3 linked regions of the Elephas maximus indicus genome follow. The protein of the gene in region 2 binds, or shares a complex with, the protein of the main gene of each other region. Links are inferred from orthologs where the notes say so. Each region holds a gene or a part of one and is shown on either strand. Other genes may lie near its edges.

What was found.
Region 1: the proteins of INTS4 (region 2) and INTS7 are in contact, whole or in part, in a cryo-EM structure (PDB 8RC4), measured with the Homo sapiens proteins. The link is inferred for Elephas maximus indicus from reciprocal best matches to the Homo sapiens genes INTS4 and INTS7. Residues at the interface, in NP_291025.3 of Homo sapiens: Glu536, Met539, Asp540, Arg571, His572, Ala574, Tyr575, Asp578, Ser579, Ser610, Phe613, Arg620, Leu624, Leu627, Gly631, Glu634, Leu635, Phe638, Arg641, Asp642, Arg645, Leu646, Glu648, Leu649, Gln650, Lys677, Leu678, Trp679, Asn680, Val681; in NP_056249.1 of Homo sapiens: Lys137, Asn138, His140, His141, Arg144, Gln145, Gly175, His205, His206, Asp207, Ala208, Ser244, Ser245, Leu246, Val247, Lys282, Thr283, Pro284, His285, Thr286, Thr321, Ile322, Lys325, His326, Gly686, Tyr689, Glu704, Gln707, Gln708, Leu711.
Region 3: the proteins of INTS4 (region 2) and INTS11 are in contact, whole or in part, in a cryo-EM structure (PDB 7BFP), measured with the Homo sapiens proteins. The link is inferred for Elephas maximus indicus from reciprocal best matches to the Homo sapiens genes INTS4 and INTS11. Residues at the interface, in NP_291025.3 of Homo sapiens: Leu159, Asp161, Thr162, Arg167, Tyr203, Gln207, Asp244, Ser292, Gly294, Trp296, Arg299, Lys323, Met326, Ser327, Asp328; in NP_060341.2 of Homo sapiens: Pro183, Trp191, Lys194, Asp212, Gln288, Gln400, Gln404, Lys462, Met465, Ala466, Leu469.

What each region holds. Positions count from the first base shown.
Region 1 is NC_064842.1:636,524-646,846, reverse strand, and holds the start of INTS7 (integrator complex subunit 7), read left to right. Parts: upstream 1-5,450; 5' UTR 5,451-5,602; coding exon 5,603-5,696; intron 5,697-10,323. Other genes in the region: DTL (denticleless protein homolog), read right to left, coding at 5,100-5,151. UniProt on the Homo sapiens protein: Component of the integrator complex, a multiprotein complex that terminates RNA polymerase II (Pol II) transcription in the promoter-proximal region of genes.
Region 2 is NC_064825.1:44,095,283-44,105,605, forward strand, and holds the start of INTS4 (integrator complex subunit 4), read left to right. Parts: upstream 1-5,430; 5' UTR 5,431-5,563; coding exon 5,564-5,617; intron 5,618-7,672; coding exon 7,673-7,867; intron 7,868-10,323. UniProt on the Homo sapiens protein: Component of the integrator complex, a multiprotein complex that terminates RNA polymerase II (Pol II) transcription in the promoter-proximal region of genes.
Region 3 is NC_064821.1:39,918,481-39,928,803, reverse strand, and holds the start of INTS11 (integrator complex subunit 11), read left to right. Parts: upstream 1-3,635; 5' UTR 3,636-4,144; coding exon 4,145-4,172; intron 4,173-10,023; exon of another isoform or gene 10,024-10,171; intron 10,172-10,323. Other genes in the region: CPTP (ceramide-1-phosphate transfer protein), read right to left, coding at 433-955, 1,345-1,466.

The sequences.
Region 1 (10,323 bases), on a different chromosome or scaffold from region 2:
GGGTCCTTATTGTGCTACGCTGTTTTCTACTTCTGAACATGCACCTGGGATGCTTTTCCACATAACAGCCATTTGGAAAAACCTATTCTTTCCTCAATGAACAATTAGCCCCTAGGGTTACATGTAAATTTCTCAAGAACTACACAAGGGCAGAATTTTCAGAGAACCAACTGTCAGATCTTCAACTTCCATATATATATTTCTAAAACTGATCTGAGAAGGTCGAGGCTTTCCTTTCCCCCTCCCTCATCATCACTGCCTTTCTATACTTTCTAAAAGAAAGGCATTTCCACTCCCCGACTTTTATACCTTGCATTGACCAAGGTACAAATGCTTCTAGGACTGTAACTAGAAGACGATTGGATAGTTCCTTTGTTAAAGACCTCATAAACACTCACCCAGATCCATCTCTTCAAAAGATGTACTACCAATGAAATTTGATTTTTTGCTTAACAATTATTTATCAAAATAAGTAATCTACACCGTTTTGATCAATTGTGTACTACTAATAATCATAGTAATAACTCAGTCCAGAAGAAACTTCTAACAACTGGAGCCCTATGACAAAGAAATCATCAATGTAAAAATATTTTTGACACAGAGTAGTATAATAAGTGATTAATAAAAGAACTTTTCGGACATAAAGTTAAATTATATTGGGATAAATTCTGTGAGGGAAATAAAATGCAAAAAAGTTAAAGGGGGAAAAGTAACTATGTAATATGTAAAGCAGTTAAAGAAGATTTTGTTCATATTTTTAAAAAGTGAAGAATGTAATCCACAAATCATCGTAGTTTTTATAACCTAGTCGATACATTGGATTGCACTGGGCAAATCTGGTACAAAACACTTCTTTAAAGTGTTACAAAACAAAGATGTCACTTTGAAGACCCAAGCCATGGTATTTTCAACCATCTCATACGCATGAAAAAGCTGGGCAATGAATAAGGAAGACTGAAGAATTGATGCCTTTGAATTATGGTGTTGGCGAATATTGAATATACCACGGACCTCCAGACGAACAAAACCAATCTGTCTTGGGAGAAGTACAGCAAGGATGCTCCTCAGAAGTGAGCATGAAGACTTCATCTCTTGTACTTTAGACACATAATCGGGGGAACCACTCTCTGGAGAAGGACATCATTCGTGGTAAAGTAGAGGGTCAGTGAAAAAAAGGGAGATCCTCCATGAGATGGACTGGCACAGTGGCTGCAACGACGCACTCAAGCATAACGGCGATTGTGAGGATGGTGCTGGATCGGGCAGCGTTTCATTCTGTTACGCGTAGGGTTGGTACGAGAGTCAGAGCCGACTCCCCAGCAACTAACACAGAACACACCTCAGTACTGGCTGTCATGGATTGAAACACGTCCCCCAAAAACATGTGTGTCAACTGGGCTAGGCCATGACTCCCAGTACTGTGTGGTTGTCCTCCATTTTTTGATTGTAATTTTATGTTGAGAGGATTAGCGTGGGATTATAACACCACCCTTACTCAGGTCACCTTCCTGATCCAAGGTAAAGGGAGTTTCCCTGGGGTGGGGCCTGTACCACCTTTTATCTCTCAAGAGATAAAAGGAAAGGGAAGCAAGCACAAAGCTGGGGACCTCATGCCACCAAGAAAGCAGCACCAGGAGCAGAGGACATCCTTTGGACACGGGCTCCCTGCGCCTGAGAAGCTCCTCGATCAGGGGAGGATTGAAGACAAGGACCTTCCTGCAGAGCCAATAGAGAGAGAAAGCCCCTGGAGCCAATGCCCTGATTTGGACTTGTAACCTACTAAACTGTGAGGAAATAAATCTCTCTTTGTTAAAGCCATCCACTTGTCATATTTGTTATGGCGGCACAAGATGACTAAGACACTTGCTTTTTTATTTTGTTTTATTTTGAGTGGTCAGCCATTGTGGCCTCTTGAGTCCCCCAACTTTAAATGTCTGAAGGCTTCTGGTCTCCCTGGGAGTTGGCTGAGATGCAGAGGCAGCCAGGGCTTACCTGTACATGCACTTAAAGACCAGTTCAGTAAAAGCACACAACTTAAAGAAAACACTCTTGAATTAAATTCTCTATAAGCACATGCATTTCAGTACTCCTTTGGCTACGTGACTACATAAATCCCCTTCCTCGTAAGTCTTTCTAGCTTACGGGTTCCTTGGTAAACTGATGAATAGAATAAAATTCTTGACATGTGTCTCCTATATTTTGCATTAAGAACCCTGTTTTTAACTTTTTTGAAAATTACTCCTTGATGGGTGTATTACAGGGATCTTCACAGAAGTGACGTTTTACCTGGACTGGTTCCCCCATCTGATTCCCTGTCTTTCAGGACCTCTTCCCTGAACCCCCTGAGTAGGATGGGGGCCTTTAGTAGAACAGTAGTGTTCCCCCAAAATGCCTCAGGCAAAATTTCCTCTATCATTGCTTATGATATTGTTTTTTAAAAGTATGTGTGTTATTTCTGCATTCTGTCTCTTAGAACTTGTTTTTAATTACATAAGTAATGTATGAATGCATTCTACAGGCAGTCCCCTGTTGTTCATAGGGTCGTTACAGGTCAGAACCGACTTAAAGGCTCCTAACAACAACAGATACATTTAAAAAGGGATATAACATTTTAATTTTAAATGTCAGTATTCACAATATCAAAATTTATATTTTTTGTATCTGTTTAAACTTAAGATAAAAAATTTTGATACCAATTTAAAAATGCACAGGAGTGATCAGATTTCCATTCTTGAAAATATTTCTGGCAGCAATCTGGAGAATAAACTGGAGGGGGGAAACTAAAAGGCCACTTGGGAGACGTAAGAGTCCAGATAAGACGGTATTAGGGCCCAACTCAGGGAAATACCGTGGTAAGGAAAGAACAGGTCTAAGATGGAGCGAAGAGGCAGAATCGATGGTGATAGAGAAGACAGGACAGAGTCCAGAGGCTTCACAGAATCTTTTTGAATGTATATAGTAAAGATAGAGGAGTCTTGGATGATTTCAAAGTTTCTGGCTAGGAAGACTGGTTTAAAATAATGAGCCCAATCCCTAAATTAGGTAATACAGCAGGTTTTGGGGAAAACAGTTCAGTTTTGGGCATCTGAGTTTGAGATGATCATGGAACCAAATATCTGGGTGAAGATGTCCACACAGCTTTTATAGGAATGGGTCTAAAGCATAGGGGAGGGAAACTGTAGCAGTGGAAGAGGCCCTGGTTATGACACTGAGCATCTAATAGAGTAAGTGGAAGAAGAAAACGAGCCAAGGATGGAACACTAACACTGAAGGGGTAAGGAAAACAAGACAGTCCTGTAAATTTCAGTGTTTAACGTATAGCAGGAGTCCCTGGGTGGTGCAGTTAACGCGCTTGGCTGCTAATCAAAAGGCTGGTGGTTCGAGCCCACCCAGAGGTGCTTTTGAAAAAAGGCCTGGCGATCTACTTTCAAAAAAGCAGCCGTTAAAACCCTATGGAGCACAGTTCTATTCTGACACACATGGGGTTGCCATGAGGCAGAATCGACCATTCAGCCAGCAACTGGTGGTTAACAGGTAGCAATGAATGAATTCTTGTGAATTGGAGAAAGAAAGGGAGAGGAAGAAGTAGACAGATAGACTGGAGAATTAGGAGAATATTTGTGGCAAGATAGAGGGGCTTGCCTCAGGTCACACAGATAGCAAGGAGAGGAGCTGGAATTAAAACTCAGTCTAACTCCAAAGACAGAGCTCTTCATCACTGTGCTGCCCTACCTACCGATCGTGACACAGAGGTCAGAGAAATTTCTCATGTAAGGTCCTAGGAGAGATAGTAAGCAGGGAATTTAGAAAACAGCCAAAAAAAAATATTTAAGAGGGAAGTTAGTAGGGATGGTATGTAGTGTTAGACTGGTAGCGGGAAGCTGAGGGGCTGCTCCTCAGTCTCCCTCCCAACATCCTTTTCCTAGACCTTCCTCTTAAATACAGAAAGTTCCCTTCTCAGGTTCTTTCCTTTTCGTTTTCCACAGAGTTTCAAGGGGAAGGAAGACCTTCCAGTGTAGTCAACATTAAAATATGTGACATTTAATTTGTCTAAGTCTAGCCTAGGTAGCAACTCCCTTATCAGTTTAAGTTTCATACAGAAAGTTTTAGACACCGAACTCCAAGTTCAAAACTCTTGCTGACAATGTTTTATAAGGAATCGAAAGAGCTGTAGAGAATAAGTTGGATTTCTACATAATATGGAAAGACATCCAAGTTATACCGTTAAAATGAAAAACAAAACATTTTTATCTCATTTCCGTAAATAACAATACATATTACCACTGGCATAAAAAAACACCCAAAATACTATACTTCAACCATCAACAGTGGTCCTCTCTGGGGGATGTTCTGATTACGGAGATCTTTCATTCTATAATTTCGAGTTTTTATGAACATGTAATAATCAGGAAAAAAAAAAAAAAAGACAACTTTTGACCTTCTAGAAGCACATGGTCTAACTTTTCTGCTTGAGCAAGTTCCTTAGCAGCGCGTCCCACTCATTCGTGGATCATCTAGACATCGGTTCTAGGACCAATGGATGAGTTAACGCACACGCGCCGCGCACGTTGTCCAACGCCAGCACCTCAGTTAACGCTGCACACAGCTGTGGGGGGCGCCGCGCACGTTGTCCAACGCCAGCACCTCAGTTAACGCTGCACACAGCTGTGGGGGGCGCCGCGCACGTTGTCCAACGCCAGCACCTCAGTTAACGCTGCACACAGCTGTGGGGGGCGCCGCGCACGTTGTCCAACGCCAGCACCTCAGTTAACGCTGCACACAGCTGTGGGGGGCGCCGCGCACGTTGTCCAACGCCAGCACCTCAGTTAACGCTGCACACAGCTGTGGGGGGCGCCGCGCACGTTGTCCAACGCCAGCACCTCAGTTAACGCGCGCCACAGGCGCGAGGCCGTAAAGCGCCCCGGGGGTCAGTCAGTTAGCTCCCCGCCCCTCCGGCCCGCCCCGAGGCGCTGAAAGCACCTTTCCTCAGCAGCCCGCGCGAAGGCTCTGCTGGCGCCGCGGGACACTCGCCGGGCCCGGGTGTCGTGTTTCGGGGAGGTGACCCCCAGCCACGAGCGGCGGTTAGGACCGTTACTCACCATTTCTCGGGACGCCAAGCTGGGGCTGGCGGAGCACCAAACTGAAGAGCATCTGGGCCAGAGGAAGACGCGCAGTTGAAGAAAAGGCTCTGAAATGCCCTAGGTCCCGCAGAAACCGCAGCCTGCACCCCAAGAACAAGACCAGGCGCTGCCTTCCACTCCCGCCACTGCAGGCTCCAGCCACCAAACTCCGCGCCAAACTGACGTCACGCTCTCTGATTGGCTCCCGCCGTGGCGTCATGGCGCCGCAGAGTCACTTCCCCCTCCGGAGCCCCGCCTCCTCTTCGCCGGTCCGCGGGAACCCAGAATTCAAGAGCCCCTTGAGCGCCTGCGCGGGGGGTCGAAGAGGCGCTGGCGAACCGGGGGATGGCCAGGGCGCATGCGTAACACGGCTTGCCAGCGCGCGGAGGGAAAATCCGCGAGAAGGCGGTGAAGGAAGATGGCGGGGTTGGGGCAGGGTTTGCGGCCTTTCTGAATAGGCTAGTCAAGTAACTATTCAGGTCATGGCGTCAAACTCAACTAAGTCTTTCCTGGCAGATGCCGGCTATGGCGAACAGGAGCTAGATGCGAACTCCGCCCTTATGGAACTGGACAAAGGTATGGGAAGGAGAGGGGGAGCCGGCTGAACGCATGAGAGGGAAGTGGCGCCCCCAGGTGGCGGGAGCCTCGGGAGAGGCGGCGGGAGCGCGTGAGAGGGCAGTGGCGCCCCCAGGTGGCGGGAGCCTCGGGAGAGGCGGCGGGAGCGCGTGAGAGGGCAGTGGCGCCCCCAGGTGGCGGGAGCCTCGGGAGAGGCGGCGGGAGCGCGTGAGAGGGAAGTGGCGCCCCCAGGTGGCGGGAGCCTCGGGAGAGGCGGCGGGAGCGCGTGAGAGGGAAGTGGCGCCCCCAGGTGGCGGGAGCCTCGGGAGAGGCGGCGGGAGCGCGTGAGAGGGCAGTGGCGCCCCCAGGTGGCGGGAGCCTCGGGAGAGGCGGCGGGAGCGCGTGAGAGGGAAGTGGCGCCCCCAGGTGGCGGGAGCCTCGGGAGAGGCGGCGGGAGCGCGTGAGAGGGCAGTGGCGCCCCCAGGTGGCGGGAGCCTCGGGAGAGGCGGCGGGAGCGCGTGAGAGGGAAGTGGCGCCCCCAGGTGGCGGGAGCCTCGGGAGAGGCGGCGGGAGCGCGTGAGAGGGAAGTGGCGCCCCCAGGTGGCGGGAGCCTCGGGAGAGGCGGCGGGAGCGCGTGAGAGGGAAGTGGCGCCCCCAGGTGGCGGGAGCCTCGGGAGAGGCGGCGGGAGCGCGTGAGAGGGAAGTGGCGCCCCCAGGTGGCGGGAGCCTCGGGAGAGGCGGCGGGAGCGCGTGAGAGGGAAGTGGCGCCCCCAGGTGGCGGGAGCCTCGGGAGAGGCGGCGGGAGCGCGTGAGAGGGAAGTGGCGCCCCCAGGTGGCGGGAGCCTCGGGAGAGGCGGCGGGAGCGCGTGAGAGGGAAGTGGCGCCCCCAGGTGGCGGGAGCCTCGGGAGAGGCGGCGGGAGCGGGCCGGGGTGGCCGAGGGCTTCGGCGGCTGGTGGGAACCAGAGGAAGGCTGCAGGGTCGCCCTGTTGGCCTTGACCGCATAGCTGGCTGTCTTACCGGCGAGCTCTCGTCATGGGCATTTTGGCCACTTGAGGGGACGATCCCCTGGTTTTCCAAGCACTGAAAATGGCTCGTTTCTAAAAATGCTAAGGTGAAATTATTTTTTGATATGTTCAGTTGAGCCCAGGTTTTCATGAAGGGTGCCGAAGAATAATCTTGCGCCAGCGCTGTGAAGATTGAGTGGGTCTCCGTAACTCCTTGCTGCGTGCGGGATGCCACGCAGCTTAAACTCGGGAAGGCTTGGTCTCCCCCGTCCCCGCAAACGGGCTCCCCGAGCCGTTTCCTAGGCGACCGGGCGGGGGCGGGCTTCCTAGGGTGGAAGGAGGAGCTTTGGGTGCCCTGAGTTCAAGTTCAGTGCTGCAGGCTTCATCGTCACGGACAGGTACCTTACTTCACCTAGCCTCGGTTTATCGGCGTGGGAAGGGGGTGCAGGTACTAATGAGAAACTTGTTCCACTGCACTTGAGGAATTTTTATTGTGTAGGAAAAGCATATTTTGCAGCTGATACAGTTAATTCTTGATTATCCGCAGCCAGTGTGTAATGTACTGAGAATTGGACCGTGAGTCAGAAGGATCTGCCTGTAAGTCCCCTCTGAGCCGACTTGGACATGTCTATTAACTTCTTTGGAACTCCTTTTTTGATTTTCTTTTCTTGTTTTGCTTGTTCTTTAACCTGTAAACATTTTTAGTAGGTTGACTAGATAAGAGTTTCTCACACTTTTTTTCTCTTTTGGCATTTACCTCCTTTTTATCAATATAAAAACGTCACAACGCCCCAATGGACTGTTCCTTTGCTTGAGTCTCAGTATCTTTATCCATCTTCTCTAGCCAAGAAAATGTTTAGCTTTGCTTTCGATTACCAAAGCTATAAGTCTTTCCCCTGAAATATTAAATTGTAATATTAAACATGTTTTTTAAACACTACACAGTCTTTCCCTCTCCATCCTGATAGGCTTTTCTCCCTTATTCCCCAGTGTGAGTTGTGGGTCTTGTGCTGTCTGATACACAGCTGGCCTTGTCCCATGCTGACAGCAGGACAGTGTTTGTACAGCCGGGATCAGGATGGGGCACTGAAGAAATGAGAAATCTAGAATTATTTAATTTCTGAAAATTTGCAGTTGTGGTAGAAATAACAACTAAATTTTCTCTTAAAGAACAGTTGAAATAGGAATACTTTAGGTCAGTAAGGAATAAGTGGATGGCTACTGACTGTTCAGCTGGAAACCAGATGTCAGCCCTCGATCCTTAGTGTTTATGTTCAGTTCTCCCAGCAGTGCCCTGGGGAGTATTGTACAGATGAATCTCAGACTCAGAAAGATAACTTGTCCAAGATAAGTACAAAACTCTTGTTCTTTTTCACCTCACCATGCTGTACCTTTGAAAGCTGTTAGAAAATTAAACTGCAGAAATAGTTTCATTAGACTATATAGTATTTTAAATATTGAATCATTTCGTTTTTTACCTATTAACAATGTTTTATGTTTTGTGAGCCAAAGGTCATAGTCAGAAGGCTACAAGTTCCAACTTTTTGTTTTCCAGAATGTAGTCCGAGGAATACTGTTTATGAAGTATTTAAAAATCCCTGTCTCTCTCTCTCTCTAACACACGTGCACACACACACATCTTATTTGATCAGCAGTTAACAAATGAAGATCAGTAGACTCATTTTTACATATGACTGAGTGCTATATCTTGTGACTTACAAAGGGAATTATTAAGCATTTCTAAGAGTTGGTATTCACAGGCTGAAATTAGTATTCTAAGAAATGTGGATAATGCACGATATTCCATGTATCCTACTATGTACATTTACAGGCAGAATTTCTGAAAATTGGGGGAAGGGTGCTTTATTATTAATTCATTATCAGTTGAGCGGACTGTCATTTCAGTTGTTTTTATTCCTGCTTTTTAAATGTAAATTACCGAGGCTTTGTCCTTATCAATTTAGTGAGCTTTGGGTTATCAGAGAGGTAGCTGCCATCAAATCGACACCAATCATGGCGACCTTATGTACAACAGAATGAAATGTTGCCTGGTCCTGCACCATCCTTACCATCACTGTCATGGTCGAGTCTGTCATTGTGGTTGCCATGCCAGTCCATCTCACCAAGGGTCTCCCTCACCCACCCTCTACTTCACTAAATGTGATATCCTCCTCCCATGGTTAATCCTCGTTATGAGACATCAAAGCAATCGAGTCAGACAGTGATCTGTTATGATCCATAAGGTTTTCATTGACTAATTTTTAGACATAGATTGCCAGGCTTTTCCTCCAAGTCTGTTTTAGGCTGGAAGTTGTGCTGAAATCTGTCCCCCTGCCGTGCCGGCAGCAGTCGTGGTTGTGTTCTTAGTGTACAGTGGTCGCAGCAATGGCTGCAACATCCCTGGATGACAGCAGAGCTAATTGTAGCATCTGGTACTCATGGTGTCAGAATCTTTTGATGAGGGCATTCTTCTTCAGGTTGGATGTAGCTAGCAGCGGAACCCCTCTTAGGTCAGGATTTGATGGACTGAGCTCCTGTTTTGGGGTCCTTAGCTTAGTCTTGAGTCGAAATTGGCTTTAGAGCAAGCAAGATGGGTACCACAGCCTCCCCAGCCTACGGTTATCGCTGAGGCCATAAAGCACTTCTCTGCCCTCTTGCACCCAGGTCCTGTCTGTCAGCGCCAACCTAAGACTCTTTCTCCTAAGACTGTTACATCAGAAAATAAACCAGAGATTTATTACTATTTGGTTCATTTATCCTATGGCTCTGTTAGAGGAATGGGGGTTTATTTTATCTTAGATAAAATTAAGCAATACTAGAAATCAGAACATGTCTCTGACCATATCAAGATTATCTTTGGTACATTTTAGACCGGCACATTTATTAAATCAGTGTGGCCTGTGACTTTGTTTTCTAAGGGAAGATAAAACGTGGTCATATCGGTAGGGGAGTCTCCCCACACATGGGCTATTCCTGCTTTATCTTTTTCCCAACCAAGGTAAATTCGTTACAGAAGGAGCTTTACCATCCTTTGCATTTAACTCGACAACTGGCAGTGAGAAGCGGAGGAAAAAAGTCCTCTTACTGTGGATTTTCCCAACAGCCCCTGCCCCCGTGCGTGCACGTGAGCGCACATCTTCTGTTCCTTCTCCCTTCCTCTCACCTCCCATCCTCAGCCCTTGCTTTCCTTCTTCTGCCCTTCCCTGTGTCCTTTGCTGCCCTATCTGCTTGTCGCTTCACCCTGGTTTCATATCGGGCTTTTAGAAAAGTCTTCCTCAGGCTACAGGAGCCACTGCCTGTGACTTAGAACGTCCCGACCACACTGCCTGTTTGGTGGGAAGACTCTTCTAGAGTCTCAGAGTGTGTGAGAGGGGGAGGGGGAGGACAAGAACAAGGGATCAGACAAAGAAGGGGCATGTTCCCAATATCCCAATCAGGAATTTCAATTAACTTGAGTTAATTTTCCTGTAGAAGCTTCTGTCAGTGGTTTATTCTGTAAGTGGTTATTAGGTTCTAGACTGCTGTGCGTGCTGGTGAATTGTTGTAGCTCCTGTGAGGAAATACGTTTCAAGTATTCAATAACTGACTTGAGTGTATTTACAGAACATAACCGGTTAGTAAGTTGTAGCAACTGCCAGTGCAC
Region 2 (10,323 bases):
AGCGTGAACTGAAAATGAAAGTAGAAGAAAAACCCAACAATAAAACTTGAAGAAGTCTATGCAAGGAGGGCAGCGTTTGATTTGAGAGGGATGACTCCCTGGGATGACTCCCACGAGTCCGTGAAAACAGATGAGCTCAAAGTGCTCATGCTGGCACTGAAGGTCTGACTTCCTGACTCCTTGAAGCCACCACCAGTAAAGCACCTTTGCATCCTGCCGAGTATGCCAAGAAATGTCAGAGCAAAAGCTGAGTGTAAAATTAAAGCCAAGAGTTTTACTGAGGTCAGTACAACTCACAACTGGCGAAACATAGGGTACAGAGTGAAATCTACCAAGTATTCCACTGACCTCATTCTGACAAGCATTTATAAAGGCAAAAACGGTGAGTATGGGGAGCTTTACAGCATAAAATGATTGGCTGAGATTTAGCATCAGTTGAGACCCAGCCATGGAAAAGTACAAGGTTGAAAAAACATTTTTCAAGGGGGACATTTTTTTCTGAGAATATTGTGTTAATATAACACTTTGACCAAATCATTTCTTGATGACTGCTTGTGCAAGAGATTTCTTATAAGCCATTTGTGTCAAGACTCCTCAAGTATGTTCTGTTGACATTCTTCCTCAGCTTAAGCACAGAGAAAAACATTTCCTGAATTACATATAGAGACCTTGTTTTGCAGGGTACAGTGGAAAGTTACGAGGTCAGAAGTTGCATTCTTTTTTTAAGCAGAACTTAAACTAATAAAAATGTTGTCTGAATTCAGACTTCAGCCAGCCATTTTACTATAGTCAAGCATTTTGATTTTAGAGCTCTCACACAGAGATTTCAGAGCAAAGACTATTACCAGGAATAAAGAGGATCATTTCACAATAATAAAGTTTTCCATTTATGAAAAGGACATGATAATCACAAATGTTTATGCCCCTAATCAACTCAGCAAGAGAACATAAAAAATTCAGTTCATCAAGAGAACATAATCCTAAATGTTAATGTACATAATAACAGAGCTTCAAAATACATGAGGCAAAAACCGATAGAATAGCAAGGAGAATTGGGCATGTTCCAATAAAGGTAAACATATACTTAAGTTATGACACAGTAATTCCACTCCAAGGTTTATATCCAAGAGAAATGAAAGAAATTGTCTACAAAAATATTCAAGATTTTCATAAGGACCAAACTGGTAATAACCCAATATCCATCAAAAGGACAACAGAGAAGCAAACCATGGTATACTCATACAATGTAATATTATTTAGCAACAAAAGGGGTAAACTACTTATACCCCCAACCACATCAGTGAATCTCAAAAATGTAATGTTGGTGTCTTAGTTATCTAGTGCTCCTATAACAGAAGTACCACAGTAGATTTATTCTTCCACAGTCTAGTAGGCTTGAAATCCAATTCAGGGTGTCAGCTCCAGTGGAAGGCTTTCTCTCTCTGGCGGCTCTGGAGGAAGGCTCTTGTCATCAATCTTTCCCCGGAGTAGGAGCTTCTCTACACAGGAACCCCACGTCCCAAGGATGTACTCTGCTACTGGCACCACTTTCTTGGTGGTATGAAGTTCCCCTACTCTGCCTGCTTCCCTTTCCTTTTATCTCTTGTAAGATAAAAGGTGATGCAGGCCACACCCCAGGGAAACTGCCTTTACGTTGGATCAGGGATGTGACCTGAGCAAGGGTGTTACATCCCACCCTAATTCTCCTTAACCACAGTAGAGATTATGATATATAACACATGGGAAAATCACAAAATGGAAGACAACTACACAATACTGGGAATCATGGCCTAACCAAGCTGACACATTATTTGGGGATACAATCCAGTCCATCCCAGTTGGATAAAAGAATCCAAACACAAAAAGTACATACTGTATGATTCCATTTGTATGATTTTTTTAGGACAGGCAAAAACAGTGATAGAAACGGTTGTCAGATGTGGGGAGAGATTGATTAGAAAGGGTATAAGGGAACTTTCTGGGCCGTTGAAAATGTTCTATATTTTGATTTGGGTGATATATATGCGTCAAACTCATCCAACTCTATACTCAAGATCTGTGCCTTTTATTGTATGTAAATTTTATATCTTTAAAAAAATAATTTAAAGAATAGAAACTTATTTTATTGGGAAAGAATTGCACCAAAGAGCTCACGGTCATGGAATTCATTGATCTTCTCAGGGGCATCACTCAGATGTAGCTGCTATGATAAAACAGTGTAATGGCCATTTGCAGATTCAGTTATGGTGCTAGCTAAGAGACAACACATCGCAAGTTTGGGGTGCTATCTTAAATGTTTGTGGCTTATGCCTTAAGCAAACAATTAAAATATGGTATTCTTTTTTTTTTTTACTCTACTGTTAGAATTCACTATCTGGGAACCAAGGGATGGAAGTTGGAGTGGTTTCTTTCACTTTTATGCCTAATAACTCATGCATGAATGTCCTGGATTGAATTATGTCCCCCCCAAAATGTGCGTATCAGATTTCTGGTATTGTGTGATTTTCCTACATGTTATAAATCCTGCCTCTATGACGTTAATGAGGGAGGATGGATGGCAGTTGTGTTAGTGAGGCAGGACTCAATCTACAAGATTGGTTTGTGTCTTCAGGCAATCTCTTGAGATATAAAAGAAAGAAATGAGCAGAGAGACAGGGGGACCTCATACCACCAGGAAAGCGATGCTGGGAGCAGAGCGCATCCTTTGGACCCACGGTCCCTGAGCAAAGAAGCTGCTAGTCCAGGGGAACATTGATGAGAAGGCCAACAGAGAGAAAAAGCCTTTCCCTGGAGCTGATGCCCTGAATTTGGACTTTTAGCCTACTTTACTGTGAGAAAATAAACTTCTCTTTGTTAAAGCCATCCACTTGTGGTATTTCTGTTATAGCAGCACTAGATGACTATGACAGTGAATTCTTGGGTCAGTGGGTTTGGAGTGCGTAGTTCCTGAGGAAGAAACAATTCCATTGGAGAACACAATCATTATTATACTACAATGGAAACTTGAGACTGCCTCTGGGCCATTTTGGGCTCTTGCTGCTAAGCCAACAGGTGGAGAGATAGTTACTGTACCAGCCTGGATGATTTCCCCCTGGAAACTGGGTTTGTGTTCTACAATGGGACAGTGAAGACTCAGTTAGAAACCCAGGGGATTCATTGGGACACCTCATTGTATTCTCATGTCCGATAATGGACATCAAAAGAAAATGGCATCAATTCAATAAACACAGTTTTTCATTTCATCCTTAAAGAATGTGGAACATTCTTGTTTCTATACCAGACTGTCCCTAATTCCTCTCCTCAATCTTATTTCTATTGCTCCTCCCTATTTCCCCCATGCACTTTACTCTGAATCTAAACTGAATTTCCTTTGGTTTTCTGAATGCACCAAATTCCATCCTGCAGCCATGTAACTAATAATATTAACCAAGACAATAATACCATATATTATTGATGTTAAAAGCCCATTTAACATTTCTGAAATCAGGATACATCTTAAAATTGCTTTGGCCAAATGCTCATGTGAAAACTGGGTCATAGTTCATATCATCACTTTGATTAAGCTCTGTGCATTTTTGGTACCACAAGTTTTGTCTTTACTTGCCATTTAAAATATCTTCAAAGAGATTACCCTATAATTTGGCACTTAAATGAAAAATTTTTATGTGTGCAGAAAGGCAGGAAAACACGACAGTATCACATATGATACAAATATATGTCTAAATAAGTTTAAAGGAGTTCTTTCAGTAATATACATAACAAGTCTAACCAATAAGAAACCACTGTTTTTAATTTTAGCATTTTTTCTTAATATGATACATAAAATAATGGTTTGTTCTATGCCTGCTGGCAGCTTAGATTTGATAGAATATGGTAATGGCAATATATTAATGGCAGCTAACGTTTATCGGAGGGCAGTGATGGTTCAACTGGAGAATTCTCACCTGCCTTCCATGTGGGAGACCCACGTTCAGTTCCTTGCCAAGGCACCTCGTGCACAGCCACCACCTGTCTTCCAGTGGAGGACTGCATGTTGCTATGAAGCTCCACAAGTTTCAGCGGAGATTCCAGAGTAAGGCAGACTAGAAAGGCCTGGTGATCTACTTATGAAAAATCAGCCAGCGAAGACCCTATGGATCACAACTGTCTGAGCCCCAACAGATCATGGGGATGGCAGAGGATTGGGCAACGGATAGCGTATCCTTCTCCACACCATAGCAGCTAACAACATCATTTATTGCAGGCAGTTTGCCAAAGTGCTTTTCATTTCACTTGATGCATTTGTATGTGCTGTAGTCTGAGATGTCTTTCCTTTTACTCTTTTAGAGCCAGATTAGTAATCCTCTTCTCTGTGAGGCTTCCCTGAGGCATCCTGAGGAAGTTGTCTGAACTGCATTCTTCCGCTATCCAGCACTTGGGGTTGAACTGTAATGATCAGTTTGAGTGTCTGTCTCCCCAATTTGGTTGTAGCTCTTGCATGCATTTTTTGGTCCTCTGTACCTAGCACAGCCTCCTGCTTTTTCTAAGCATCTTACATTAACTCTTAAAAGAACAATGAACAGCGAAAGTTTGATGTACTGCGTAAAACTCCACCTTGGATTTATTAATACTAACACATGAACTCCACAGTATAGAATATTTCCACGTTTCGTTTCGTCATTACTACATTTTCGTCAGGTTAGGCATTATCAGTGCATTCGTAGTTGAGGCCACTTGCTCGTCAAGTGCCAAAAACTAGCTTGAAGGCTAGTTTTTTGACACTGGGCCTGGGCCTTCTTTCCACTGTACTGGTGGCGCAGCGGTTAAGACCTACAGCTGCTAACCAAAAAGTCACCAGTTTGAATCCACCAGCCACTCCTTGGAACCTGCCATATGGGGTCGCTATGAGTCCGAATCGACTGGATGGAAACGGGTTTGGTTTTGGTTTGGTAGCTATCAGAAGAGAGAGCGACTCCTTAAAGGATGGACAGCTTTTGAATAACCGTAGTTTGGGAAGAAGAAAAGGCACCTTGGGCCAGAGGAGGGGTGGCGCACGGCTTGAACGGAGTTCAAGAAAGCGACAATTAGCAAGCATTATAAACAACAAAGGACGATAGGAACCTCAGCTCGGCCTCCTTCCGCTATTTTGCCAGTCAAAAACCCTTACATATCTCCAGGTTTTGCTTCTAGCTCTGAATCGCCCCGCCTCTGCCCGTTAATCTATATTTCCTCCTTCCCTTCGCTCAACTTCAGCGCCAGCCTCTGGGCCACTCTCAGACCACCAGCAATCCCCCAGAAGCTCCTATTGGCTCGTTCACCCTTTCAGTCCTGTCTTCTCCCGGCAGAGGCCCCGCCCCTTCACGCTAAGATTCCGTTTTCGTCCCCCCCGGCGCACGAGGCGTAGGCGGACAAGCCCGGCCGTACCGCTCCGGGGCAGTAGAGCCGCAGGAAGTGGCCTCTCTTTCCCAGAGCCCCATTGGCTTGTGGGATAGCGGCGAATTTGTCCAGCCTTGACCGGTTTTCCGGATCCCTCCACCCCGCCTCCGGTGGTGAGTACGGAAGCTGCGAGGGCCCGTGGGCAACCATGGCGGCGCACCTTAAGAAGCGAGTGTACGAAGAATTCACTAAGGTGGTTCAGGTAAGCGTCGGCATCAAAGTTCCCAGGACACTTCCGCGGCGGGGACGGTTATCCAGGCTCCAGGCACTTTGCCAGAACAGGCGCCAACCAGTGTTGAGCGCTTACTCTATCGTAGGGTTTCTGAGAGTACACGTTAGTGGGCGTGTTAGTTTGCCTGTACTGTTGTCATTAATAGCCTGACGCAATTTTTCTTATTATTAGAATAAATAAATGACACTTTACATTTTACGAACTTTGTTTCATCCGTTATCTCATTTTGTTTTCTCACACAACTTGTTAGATCGGGTTACATTATCCTAGTTTCACAGATGTTGTTATTGAGGCTTCCGGAGGGGTACGAAGACACAGTGCCTACTAGTCCAATTCCCAACTTCTCCAAAAAAACCTCCAGGGGCAAGGTGGCAGTTTGCAAAGTTATAAGCGGCCGCGAGAGAAAAAACCTGGCGATCAGCTCCCGTAAATATTTCAGCCTAGAAAACCCTGCGGGACAGTTCTACTCTGTAATAGGGTTACTATGCGTCGGAATCGACTTGATTGCACTCAACAAGAACACAAGGGACTTGAAGAAGAGTCTATAGAGGTCTTCAAGGCCCACGTGTCAAAGCAGGCAGAACGCTCCATTTGTGGAACAGCTGCCCTACGAAGGAGGGTGATCTTGTGTCTTTGAAGCTGTTTAAGAAAGGTGGGTTTAGCTCCCGTTTAGCAGCCGTTGATGCTCTACATGTCTCCATTTAGCTGTCGGTGAAGTAGAGGCTGATCTCAAATCATCCGTTGGGAAGTTCTTCACAAACTTTGTTGTGTATACAAATTACCCGAGGATATTGTTAATATGTCAGTTCTACTCAATATGTCCGTCAGGCTGAGGGAGGGGAAGGGAGGCAATATTCTGCATTTCCTACAAGTTCCCAATTGATGTCAATGCTTCGGATCCTTAACCATCCTTAGAGTTTCAGACTTGTGGAGTAGCAAGGCCTAGATGATCCAGTAGGAAGCTGATCCTTAAACATTTCATTCATTCATTCAACAAGAATTTATTGAGTCGATGAGGGATTACTATGTGCCAGGCGTTGTGAAAAGTGTTGGTCTACAAAGTCCAGTACACATCAGGGTCTCTGCTGTTAAGGAACTCACAGGCTAATGGGAGAGACAGGAGAACATATCTGTAATTGTAATACAGAGAGACAATTGCATTGACAAATCAAATGTTTCTTCCTTTCTCTTTTGCATCACCATCTTTTTGTAAAACCAAACTTCTTAGCCCTTTGCAGTCTGACAGTATTCCTTCCAGTTTAATCACTTGTCACTTTCTTTTTTCCCAACACTGTTGTTCCCACTTCCCAAGACTATTCTCCAAGACTTCCCCAGTGTGCCTTGTGTTTGCATATCTCCAAACTTTTGTATTTGTTCTGTTGCAAAGAATGCATACCATTTGTCCATCTTTTTTGTTCCTCACCCAATTCAATTTTATACTTTTGCTTCAAGATCCAATGGAAACTTTAGTGATAGTTTTAGTCTTTTTCTTCTGCTTCTATAGGACTCTATTGCACTTATCTATTTGTACTTATTGCTCAGTACTGCAGTGACCAGTGTGTATACTCCCAGCATTCTGGGCTCCTTGATGGCAGAGATGACATCTGGGTTCATCTTTGTCACCTGAATGGACCACAGGGCCTGGCTCACTAAAACGTTATTATTGATATCTGAATGATATCAGTTCGTCCTCCCCATTAGATAGTTTCTTAGGGAAAAATCTTCCCCAAGTTTTGTCTTAACTGCAGCCGAGATAACACTAAAGACTGGATTTGTGTAGAATAAGCTGGGAATGGATAAGGGTTTTAAAGCAAGCAGTTTTTCACTTTAATCTGCATGAGTGGTTTAGTGATGAAATGAGATCTTAGCCTTTCTGTTCTTTTTTCTCTGCTGTGAGGAGAGAGAAGTGATATGTATCTTGTGTTTATTATGCGTATGTACAGTAAAACCAAACCCAAATCAAGTTGATTCTGATCTGTGTTTTCAGTTAGGTCTTCATGTCTTATCTTCCCTTCTTCTTTACAGCAACAGCAAGAAGAAATTGCTGCCAAGAAACTCCGACTAACAAAACCAAGTAAATCTGCAGCACTCCACATAGATCTGTGTAAGGCTACTTCCCCAGCAGATGCTTTGCAGTACCTACTCCAGTTTGCCAGGAAGCCCGTTGAAGCAGAAAGTGTGGAGGGAGTAGTCAGGATTCTCTTGGAACATTATTACAAGGTAAGGAGAGCTTGAAGACCTATGGGGGTATATATGAGAGATGTATCATATCTGTGGAATGAGTTAATATTGCAAAATAAAGAAGGTGTTCATTTAGCAGTCGTTTACTTAGTGCCTTCCATGTGCTAGACACTATGATTACATAAGTAAAAAAGATCCACATCCTGTCCTCGGAGGCTTAGAGTCTACCAGGTGGTAAATGATACTGCATCAAACTGTTGTGGGTACTGTCAGCCCAATACATACAGAGTGCAGTAGGTGCACAAAGGAGGATTTGACATGTACCATGACCCTTCCACAACCAGACTCAGCTCTGTAATGTAGTTCCCTCATCATCACCCCTGCTGTTACCACCCTGATTCAGGACTTCATTGTAGTAATTACAGTAGCTTTCAGCCTTGCTCTCCCCCCACTTTTTTTAAATAACTTGGCATTCTTTTTTCCAGGTATCTTAATGGGTTAGGTAAAATATCAACTCAAGCATGATTAAATGTGGAAATAGTTTAATCACAAAATATGTTTATTAGTTTGTATAGTGAGATCTGAAGTAAAAGAAAAAATCATTTTCAGATTTTTGAATCACAGATTAAATTTTTAAACCTTAGTATGAAAAATTTTAAACTTACAGAAAAGGGGAGAAAATGGTATAATGAACTCTCAAATACCCATCCCAGAGATTTTAAAGTTATTACTATTTTGCCAAATCTGCTCCATCTATTTGTTTTCCTGAAGTTTTTTAAGGTATCATATTCTGCTAAAAAGTTTAGTAAATAGCTCTAAAAAAAGGACATCTTTTTTTTTTTCTTTTTTAAATAACCACATGACTACATCTGACAAAACTAATTCCTTAATGTTAGTCCATTTTCAGATTTCTTTAGTTTTTCCCAGATACTTGTATTGAGATGAAATTCACACAACATAAAATTAACCATTTAAAGGATACAATTCAGTGGCATTTAGTACATTTATAATCTTACACAACCACCACCTGGATAAAGTTTTAAAACATTTTCATCACCCCAAAAGAAAACCCCTTACCCATTAAGCAATCACTTCTCATTTTCTCCTCTACCAGCTGCTGGAAAACACCAATCTGCTTTGTCTCTGTGGACTTAGCTATTCTGGATGTTTCATATCTAATATGTGACCTTTTGTTTCTGATTTCTTTCACTTAGCATAATGTTTTCGAGGTTGCTCCCAGTTATAGTATGTATCTGTACTTTATTCATTTTTTATGGTTGAATAATATTCTGTTGTATGCATATACCACCATTTGTTTATTCATCATCTGTTGAAGGACATTGGGTTGTTTCCACCTTTTGGGTATTGTAAATAATAATGCTATGAACATTTGTGTACAAGGGTTTCAGTATCTGTTTTCAGTTCTCTTTGGTATATAACTGGGTATGGACATGGTGGGTCATATAGTAATTCTGTTTAACTTTTTGAGAAATTGCCAAGCTTTTCTACATTTTATAGTCCCACCAGCGTGCATAAAGGTTCTAATTTCTACACATCCTTGCCAGCACTTGTTATTTTTCTGATATAGCCATCCTAGTCAATGTAAAGTGGAATCTCATTGTGGTTTTCATTTGCATTTCCCTGATGACTTATGACTTTGAGTATCTTTTCATGTGCTTATTAGCCATTTGTCTTTCTTCCTTGGAGAAATGTTTATCAGGTCCTTTGCCCAATTTTAAATTGTGTGTGTGTGGTTTTTTTTTTTTTTTTGGTCTTTTTGTGGTTGAGTTATAGGAGTTCTTTATGTATTCTGGTACTCAACCCCTTATCAGCTATGTGGCTTTCAAATATTTTCTCCCATTCTGTAGGTTGTCACTTTACTTTGTTGATAAAGCCTTTTGATGCACAAAAATTTTAAATTTAGATAAGTCCAGTTTATTTTTTATTTTGTTGCTGATGATTTTGGTGTCATATCTAGGCAACCATGGCCAAATCCAAGGTCATGAAAATTTACCTTTTTGTTTTCTTCTAAGAATATTATGGGTTTAGTGCTTATATTAATCATTAACCCGTTTTGAGTTAATTTTTGCACATGGTATAAGATAAGGATTCAAATTCATTCTATTGCATGTGGAAGTCCAGTTGTTCTGGCATCATTTGTTGGAGAGACCGTTCTTTCCCCATTGAATGGACTTGACACCTTGTCCAAAATCAGTTGGCCCTAGATGTATGGGTTTATTTCTGGACTCAATTCTATTACATTGGTCTATGTGTCTGTCTTTATGCTAGTATCACACCGTTTTAGTTATTGTATCTTTGTGTAGGTATTGAAATCAGGATGTGTGAGTCATCCAACTTTGTTCTTTTCCAGTATTGTTTGGCTTTTTGGCCCTTGCAATTTGATGTGAATTTGAGGATCACCTTTTCCATTTTTGCAAAACAAGCTGTTGAGATTTTGGTAGGGATTGTGTTCAATCTGTAGATTGCTTTGGGTA
Region 3 (10,323 bases), on a different chromosome or scaffold from region 2:
CCAGATGTCCCCTCCCTGCCCTGGCAACGGGCAACCCAGGAGGCCTTACACCTGGGCAGACACAGGGGCTGCTCAGCAGCATGTGTTGTGGCCTGAGGCAGGTATAGGAAGGACACACACACCTGGGGTGCTGGAGAGGGGGTCTCTGAGCTCCTGGGACCGTGACCACCACTTCACAGACATGGGCAGGCGGGAGGACTGCTGGGCTGCAGTGGTGAACACCTACTCCACCTGCCCCTCCTCCACCCCTGCTGCCTTTCTGCTCCCAGGACCTCTGTGAGCCCAGCGGAGCAGATGTCTGCTGAGACACCCAGGGAATGTGGGATGGTCACAGACTGACCAGGACGGCAGAGAAGCAGACAGCCAGCACCCACTTCTCTGTCAGTCTGCCCCAGCATGAAGGAGGACGCAACGAGAGGACCGCCCGCTGCACTAGGGGAGGTCCAGCAGTGTGTGCTCTGCATAGAGCTTCTGGACAACATCGTAGACACGTTGGAGGAAGGGTAGCGCCTCATCCAGCATTGCTATGGCCTGCTCAGGTGGCCCCACCTTCATGGCCTCCAGGAAGACCTTGCGTGTGGGCAGGGCACAGAAGGCCACGGTGACAGCCTGGCGTACGACCCAGGGGTGGTAGGCAGCCAGTGAGGCATTATACGAGTCAGTGCAGAGCGTGGAGGTGCGGGCATTCTCAGGGCTGGTACGCAGCCTCTCCAAGAACAGCTGCAGCCAGCGCAGGGCTCGGTGTAGCCGCAGCACAGTGCGACAGCCCGAGTCAGGGTGGCGTGAACGCCGCTGCAGGTCCACCAGCTGGTGGCCCACCTCATAGGCCACCATGGACTGCAGGCTGGCATAGTGTTCCCCCTGTGGGCTGCTACGCAGCCGCTCCATAATCTGCAGCTTTGCCACCACGTCCTTGGAGATGAACGCAAAGATGGCACCCAGACTGTTCAGAAACCTGCTCAAGGGAAAGCCGGAGCTCAGTCTGTGCTTCCCAGGGTCCCATGCCACCTGAGGGCAGGGCCTGGCAGGGTCTGCAGCGCCTCCCTCCCACCAGGGCTGCAAGAGCTGAAGCCCCAACCCTGACCCCTCCTCCCAAAGGCGTGGGGCCCAGGCATGTCGCTTGAAAGAAGCCAGGTGCTGCCGGCCTTAGGGCCAGCACCCAGCTCTGTACCCGGCTGGCAGGCACCAACCTGGTACTTACAAGCACCTGCAGGAATGTAGGGATCAGAGAAGGGGACCTTTGGCTAGGAAAGCCCTGCCCCAAACCAGTTCCTCGCCACCTCTGGGGCAGGAGGCCCCTCTGGGGACACTGACAGTCGCAGGGAGTCCCGCGCAGGCACATACTTCACCAGCCCCCACCAGCCGCTGAGGTAGTGGTTCATTAGGATCTCCTCTTTCTCGTTGAGGCACTGCTTAAAATCAACCATGACGACTTTCAAGTTGAAGTCTGCCTCCGAATCATCCATTTTCAACAGGAACTGAAACACACAAAGCTCCCACTAAGTCAGCTTGTTCTGCACTGTGTTTTTATTTTTCTTCCGTAGGAAAGGGGCGGGAGGGGGTGGAAAGAGCTGGGATCACAGGCTACCTACTCAGAGCCCTGCAATGGCACCCCACCCCCCAAAATGGAATTCTTCCTAAGGCGGGCCCATCTGCCTTCCAGACATGCCATGCCTCCTGTCCCTGCCTCGAGGTCTTTGCCCTGCTGTGGCCTTGCCTGGAACCCTTGTAAAGAGATCTCCACCTGGGTCTCGGTGAAGCTGTCCCTGACCAACCGCTTAATGCGGCATACCCTCCCAGGCTTCCTCAGACGCCTCTGCTATGTTTCACTGCGGTGTGTGCTCTAGCCACTGTCCTACTTACGTGCTTATTTGCCATCTGTCTCTCACTAGAGTGTGTGTCTGTTTTTACTGTGCTGTTCTTGGCCCTCGGGACCCACTGTGAACAGGTGAGTCCTGCCCTGTCAAGGTGATGTTCTAGTGGGAAGGATAAACAACAACCAGTAAACACAGGGGATTCCGATGCAGCATATGAGTTGGTGAACCTCAAAGAAACAGAAGCATGACAGCAAGGCAAGAGGCAGGGAGGGTAGTTGGGCAGCCTCCCTCCTTCCTCCATCACTGTGGCACCCCCTGGGCCAGAGCTGTGGCCACAGAACCATCTTTTCACTCTTGCTGCTGAAATTGTACACGATCTGTGCAGGAGGGTGGCAGGGCCAAGGACCTTACCACACTCTGAAGACAGGCCCTTCCTCCAGCCCCAGGGAACCTGCCAGAAGCATCCACAGACCAGAGGCTACAAAGGCACTGCTCTGGACCCTGCATGCACTCACACATCACTCCACAACACTCAAGTGCCCACGCAAGAGTGGGTACCACTGGGAACCTCAGCCCCTGCCTCCCTGGGTATGCTACCCCAAGGGCATCAGCCTGACATCTGAGGGTACCTGCAATGGAGCCTGGGGACTCAGCCACATGTCACCTTGTATCCAGGACAAACTTGTGCCTGGGGGTTCCTGTGCCCCTTGATGCTTGGAGCCCTGATTTGCCCCCTCACCCCCGTGGGGTCCCTAGCATGGAGAAGACCAGCTGTGATGACACCCCCAACCAGGAGGACAGCTGGTTCCTCAGTGGGCAGGTCACTCACCATCCTAAGACTCTGCATCTCTGGGAAAAAAGGAGTCAACGCGCCCTGCCCTGTTCACTCCCCGGCTGCTGGGAGCATCTGGGGGCACCAGTAAGTGCTGAAGCCCTGCAGGCCTTATGAGTTTGGCTGCATGCCTGGCTTTGGGTGGAGCCCCAACAAGCAAGCTCACTGTGTCTACAAGTATGGAGTCCCTAGAGATGAGTTCACTGTGTCTTCAGGTGCCGGGGAAAGGTTGGGCCTGGGCTCAGGAGGATGGTGCCCGAAGACTTTAGGTAGCGTCCCCTCTCAGGGCCTAGTTCTCTGTCCATTGAACAGATGGTCTCTGAGGCTCTGGGTCTCCTTCCTGGTCACCAGACAACCTGCCGCTGGGGCTTCCTGCCCAGGATCACAGCCAACAGGAGCTGCCAGTGAGCCTTTCACAGCTGTCAGTCTGCGACAGGAAAGGTGGGCAGCCTGCCAGCTCAGGTAAGGTGATTGCAGAGGCTCAACCAAGGCTCCTCAAGGGGCAGGCAGCCCCAAGGTCAGGGCTGGGAGGGAGGACAGCTTGGGCACTGGAGTTTGTGACTGACAGCAGGCTGGAGTCCTGGCCAGAGAGTGGGCAACCTGGCGCCCAGACCTATGGGTGGGTGCGGAACCCAGCAATTTGGGCCCCTGTCCAGGAAACCTGTAAGTCTCACCTGGGAAGGGGGCTGCGGAGGCACCAGGGTAGGGTCTGCGATTCAGAAGAGAGTGGGGTCGGGCCCTGGGCAGGTCTTGCTCCAGTTGAGGGCACCGGGATGGGGAGGCATAGGACGGTGGTGGGGGGCCGCCTTGCAAGACAGGACTCAGGCGCCCACCCCGCCGCAGCCCTCCGCGAGGGTTCCCCTTCCCCGCTTCCGCCCCTGGGGTCCCAACAGTTGCCCCTCGGACCCACACCAGGCTCCTCCACGGCTCCAGACCCGCCTCGGTCGGCTCGGTTGGGTTCGACCCTGCCCGCCCCGCCGAGTCCGGCCGGAAACGCTCACCTCCTCCTCCGCTACAGCCTTCTGCAATTGCCGGGCCGGCCGTGCCGGCCCCGCCCGCCCCTCTCAGCTCTAGGCCGCCGGCGCCGCCCATCGATTGGTTGCGGGGAGTCCAATCAGGAGGCCCAACGAGCCCGCGTTTCCGGCGAGCAAACCAGAAGACGGCGCTGTTGGGGCAGGGGTTGCGCCTGCGCAGTGCTTCGCAGCGCGTCGGGCTCCCGTACAGCCAGCGATCCTGGTGGTCAGGGGTCCTAGTGTGGGGGCGGTGGGGTTGTGCTTGGAACGAGGCGCCGCTGGCTCAGTGATCACTGAGGAGCGGAGCTCGCCCTTCTCCCGGGGGACTGGGGCCTGCGCCCCCCTCGGCCGTTTTCCTTCCCCGGTTCCCTCCCAGCCTAAGTCCCCGCGGGACCCCGAGGACGCGGCGGGAGTTCAGGTGCGGCGTGTCGGCCCGACCCGGCCCTGCACGTGCCCCGAGCCTGGGAGTTCGCCCAGTGAAGATGCCGGAGATCAGAGTCACCCCTCTGGGTAAGCTCAAACCCACCGTCAGGAGGAGCTAGAGGAGATTGGGATTCGAATGGGTGACGATGACCTTTGGTGGAAGTGCCCCGAGCCAGCCCCCCCCGGGAGCCCTTCATCTGTTTTCACTCTTCATCGTCACCACAACCCTGGGGGTTAAGGACTCCTATCCCCATTTTAGGGACTGTGTAGCTGGCTCACAGAAAGCCTCGGTAACTTACTCAAAGCCCACAGCCATCACCGTGTTGTTACTGTTAGGTGTCATCGAATCAGTTCCAACTCATAGCCATCCTATGTACAACACAGCGAAACACTGCTTGGGCCTGCACCACCCTCACAATCATTGTTATGCTTGAGCCCATTGTTGCAGCCACTGTGTCAATCCATCTTGTTGAGTATCTTCGCTTTTTTCTTTGACCCTCTAGTTTACCAACCATGATTTCCTTCTGCAGGGACTGATCCCTCCTGATAACACGTCCAAAGTATGTGAGAGGAAGTCTTGCCATCCTTGCTTCTAAGGAGCATTTTGGTTGTACTTTTTCCAAGAGGGATTTGTTCATTCTTTTGGCAGTCCATGGTATATTCAATATTCTTCTCCGGTACCACAATTCAAAGGCGTCAAATTCTTCTTCGGTCTTCCTTATTCATTATCCAGCTTTCCCATGTATGAGGCAACTGAAAATACTATGGCTTGGATCAGGTGCATCTTAATCCTTAAAGTGACATCTTTGTTTTTTAATACTTTAAAGAGATCTTTTGCTGCAGATTTGCCTAATGTGATGAATATTTTTATTTCTTGACTGCTGCTTCCATGGGTGTTGATTGTGATCCAAGTAAAATGAAATCCTTGACAACTTCAATCTTTTTTCCATTTATCGTGTTGCTTATTGGTCCAGTTGTGAGGATTTGTGTTTTCTTTATGCTGAGGTGTAGTCCATACTGAAGGCTATGGATTTCATCAGTAAGTGCTTCAAGTCCTCTTCATTTTCAGCAAGAAAGTTGTGTCATCTGCATATCGCAGGTTGTTAATGAGTTTTCCTCCAACCCTGATGCCGCATTCTTCATATAGTGCAGCTTCTTGAATTATTTGCTCAGCATACAGATTGAATAAATGTGGTGAAAGAATATAACCCTGACACACACTTTTGCTGACTTAAAACCACACAGTATCCCCTTGTTCTGTTTGAGTGACCGCCACTTGATCTATGTACAGGTTCCTCGTGAGCGCAATTAAGTGTTCTAGAATTCCCATTCTTTACGATGTTATCCACAATTTGTTACAATCCACACAGTTGAATGCCTTTGCATAGTCGGTAAAACACAGGTAAACATCTTTCTGGTATTCTCTGCTTTCAGCCAAATCCGTCTGACAACAGCAGTGATATCCCTCATTCCACATCCCCTTCTGAATCCGGCTTGAATTTCTGGCAGTTCCCTGTTGATGTATTGCTGCAACCACTTTTGGATTATCTTCAGCAAAATGTTACTTGCGTGTGATGTTAGTGATGTTGTTCGATAATTCCTCATTCTCTTGAGTCACCTTTCTTTGGTATGGGCACAAATATGAATCTCTTCCAGCCTGTTGGCTACATTTCTTGGCATGGATGAGTGACCACCTCCAGTGCTACAATGATTTGTTGAAACATCTCAATTGGTATTCCATCAATTCCTGGAGACTGGTTTTTCACCAGAGCCTTCCAGGCAGCTTGGACCTCTTCTTTCAGTACCATGGGTTCCTGATCATATGGTATCTCCTGAAATGGTTGATCGTTGACTGATTCTTTTTGGTATAGTGACTGTGTATTCCTTCCATCTTTTTTTTTTTTTTCCCCTTCCATCTTCTTTTGATGCTTCCTGAAGTTGCTTAACATTTTCCCCATAGAATCCTGCACTATTGCAGCTCGAGGCTTGAATTTTTTCTTCAGTTCTTTCAGCTTGAGAAATGCCAAGGGTGTACTTCCCTTTTGGTCATCTAACTCAAGGTGTTTGCATATCATTATAATAGTTTACTTTGTCTTCTTGAGCCACCTTTTGAAATTTTCTGTTCAGTTTGTTTATTTCACCGTTTTTTCCATTTGCTTTAGGTGGTCAACATTCAAGAGTGAGTTTCAAAGTCTTTTCTGACATCCATTTTGGTCTTTTCTTTCCTTTTTTTTTAATGATCTCTTGCTTTGTTCATGTATGATGTCCTTGATGTCATTCCACAACTTGTCTGGTCTTTGGTCATTAGTGTTCAATGCATCAAATCTATTCCTGAGATGGTCTCTAAATTAAGGTGTGATATACTCAAGGTCATACTTTGGCTCTCATGGACTTGTTCAAATTTTCTTCAGCTTCAGTTTGAACTTGCATATGAGCAATTGATAGTCTGTTCTGCAACTGGCCCTTGGCCTTGTTCTGACTGATGATACTGAGCTTTTCCATTGTCTCTTTGATTGAATTTGATTCCTGTGTATTCCATCTGGTGAGGTCCAAGGGTATAGTTGCCCTTTATGTTGTTGAAAAAACGTATAAAGTCATTGGTCTTGGAAAATTTTATCGTGTGATTCCGGCATAGCTTCTATCACCAAGGCCATATTTTCCAACTACTGATCCTTCTTTGTTTCCAACTTTCGCATTCCATCACCGGTAATTATTGATCCATCTTGATTGGATGTTTAATCAATTTCAGACTGCAAATCTTCAATTTCTTCACCTTTGGCCTTAGTGGTTGGTATGTAAATGTGAATAACAGTTGTATTAACTGGTCATCCTTCTGGGTGTATGGTTGTTATCCTATCACTGACAGCGTTGTACTTCAGAATAGATCTTGAAATGTTCTTTTTAATGATGAATGCAATGCCATTCCTCTTCAAGTTGTCAAGCCCTCAAAGTACAACAAACTGACAGATACATGGGGGCAGTCATCACCGTGAGAGGTTCAAATCCAGGCAGTGTTTTTCCGCCACGTGGTACTGCCTGTACATGGGTCCCGGCTTTTAGAATCCTTTCCTGGATGCAGCTTCCTTGGACTCTTAGGGCCGTGCTGAGAGGGGGTGGGGCTGCATGGCATTCCTTCTGTTCTGGTGAGGACACTGAGGCCTGAATCAGTCCCTAGCCTGAGGTCGCTTGGTCAGCGTGTGCGTGGAGATCCTGACCTCTGTTCTGGCTGCTCCTGCAGGTGCCAGCTCTGTGGAGAGTGGTTAAGGGATGGGCTTTGGGGTTGTATTCTGTCCTGCTAGTAGCTGTGTGATGCCACATCTCCGTCTCTCTGTATGTGTTCTGACAGCGAGGCAGGTGTGAGCTACCTAATCTCAGAAGGCTCTGAGGTAAAGTGCTCGCCCCCATGCTTGGCACAAAGTCAGTCTTCGGCAGATGCTGCACTGTCCCTGGGCAGTGGTGTGGGAGACCACTCAGAGTCTCTCCCACCCCTGTGACCTCACGGTTGTTTCCTCTGTCAGCGTATTTGCCTCCCCTTGCACATCGACCTTTGCCCACCTTTGCCCTTCGTGTCTCCTCTGACCTCACCTCTTGCTCAGCCGTCCACCCTCTCATTCTGTCTTACAGTCTCTCCACTCGGCACTGCTCACACCAGGGTTACCTGCAGCCCCGTTTACCCAATACAGCAATCAGCACTCAGTTCAGCAAAATTAAAAAAAAAATAGCTTTATTTTTTGTAAGACGTACATATGTGCATTATGAAAAGTCTTAATAGGAGTCCCTGATTCTTGCAAATGGTTAATGTGCTCAGCTGATAAACACAAGGTTGGAGGTTTGATTCCACCCAGAGGCACCTTGGAAGAAAGGCTTGGCAATCTACTTCGAAAACATCAGCTATCAAAAATCGTATGGAACACAGTTTTACTCTGACACACATGAAGTCATGATGAGTCATGATTGGCACCATGGCACCTAGTTTAACAGTGCTAAGGAGAAAAGGGGGCCCTGGTGGTGCAGTGGTTAAGAGCTTGGCTGCTAACCAAAAGGCTGGCAGTTCAAATCCACCAGCTGCTCTTTGGAAACCCCATGGGGCAGTTCTGCTCTGTCCTGTAGGGTTGCGATGAGTTGGAGTTGACGTGACAGCAATGGGTTTTTTTTAAGGAGAAAAGACTCACTCAAACCTAGGGTCCCAGAAGCAGCTGGGGCCATCCCCTGGATGCCCTGGGCACTCTGTGTGCCTGGTGCCACTCTGGAACCTGCCTCCTTCCCTGGGCAGTATGTCAGGGGCATCTTCCATGTCTGTTCCCACAGCGCTGAGCTTCTCACCAGTGAGTCCCTCCCTGCCCCAGCACAGACACTGAGCTTGGCTCCCAGGCTTCTCAACTTATGCAGCTGTTGGCAGAGCTGCAGTGAATGTCCCACCCCTGGCCTCCAGGACAGAGTGCACGCCCCACGCTTCCACAGGATCACCACCTCCACAGCCTTTTCGACAGCTGTGGCATGGGGTCCCCTCACCTGCTGTGGCCCCATGCCCTCCCCAGTTGCTCTCCAGAGGCTTCTGTGGACTCCTCCTTCCTGGCCCCCATCCCAGCCCACCTCTTTCCCACTGCCTGTTCTTCCTGATGGGGAGCCATGGTGGTACAGTGGTTAAGAACTCAGCTGCTAGTCCAGAGTTTGGCAGTTCAAATCTACCAGCTGCTCCTTGGAAACCTCATGGAGGTATTTCTTCACTGTTCTGTAGGGTTGCTATGAGCTGAAACTGACTTGATGGCAATGGGTTTGCGTTTTTCTTTTTTGGTTCTCTCTGACAGCACTTTCTTATGGCTTCAGTTACCCCACATCTGCACTTGGGTCACCCCAAAGCCACCTTACCACCATGAAAACAAACCCTTTCTGCTCACCCATTTTTCCTTTGCCAGTTACACCTGCGCAGCTCCCGGGCAACAGGCGCCCAGGCAGCAGGTTGACACCCAGTATCACAGGCGCTTCCAGCACAGGGCCTGTGCGCTGCTCCCCTGTCCTGGCTCCCCCATCCTTTTCAAGAGGAAGTCCCTGTGGTGGTGCTGCAGTGCCCGAGCCCCCACTGCCCCCGTACCCCCACTGTGTTTTCACTTTGCTACTTGTGGCTGTTGCCATCTGCCGCCCTGGACATGGTTCTTATTGATGAGTTCGTTATCCCTCCTCAACCTGGAATGTAAACTCTGTGCGGACAGGGATTTCCCTTCTCTTTTTTTCCCCTCCTAACTGACTCCTGCCCTCCCATGTGCCCCAGACTCTGCTCCTCACTTCTCCCTGTGATTGCTGTGGGACCTGCTAGGAGGTAGGACGGCCAGGCCCTAAGAACCAGGTTCTTGGGTCAGAAAATGGGCCCTGGCCCATTGAGGGCCATGTGCCCTGGGTGGATCCTGAAACTGCTCGGGCTCTCAGTTCCTGGTCTGTGAGGGACAGCCCTCCTCTCCACAGATGCCTGTTGAGGCACAGCTCAGGGCGGGGGATGCTGCTGAGAGGAGACAGACAGGTCCATCCTCGTCAGGCTCACGCTTCAGTGGGGGGCAGAGCAGACTTGTAGGAAGACCCCAGACCATGTGGGGTAGGGGCAGGGTGCAGGGCACAAGGCTGCCATGGCCTGCTGTTGTCCTGATCAACTATGGCCTGGTCACCTTATCGTGTATAGTACTAACAGCCAGACATTTGGGTGGCTGGCAGAGGGAGGCACTTGGGATTCCAGGAGAGCATCATCTGCTGTTGTCAGGCCCTGCCGAGGGTCCCTTCCCTTGCAGACCTGTTGGTGGGGATGCTGCTGTGGCCTGGGGTGGAGTGTTGCACTGTGGTTGGGCATAGCTACTCTGGCTGGGCATTGTCAGACGGGAGGCTGATCTCCTGCCTTGGGGCACCCAGACCTTGGGCGCCCAGGCCTCTCCCAGCTTAGGGGTGGCCCTAGGGAGGGCCGTGTGTCTGCAGGCTGCCGAGGGCCTTGGGGAGGGCGCTGTGGCCCTGGAGCACCGTCTCACCTCTGTTGAGCACTGCACGCTACCCATTCTTGGCCTTCGAGGATGTGAGCCCCAGTGGGCAGGCTGCGACCTTGAGTGGTGAGGGGTTTCCCCCTCTATCCCAGCCACACATGGGGTGGCGGGGGGGTGGTGGGCACCAGCCTAGGTCTCTTGCCTGGCTTAGAGCCCCAGTCACCCTCACTCTGCATACTCGCTGCCACCCAAGCTGTCCCTACCCCACTCTGCAGAGA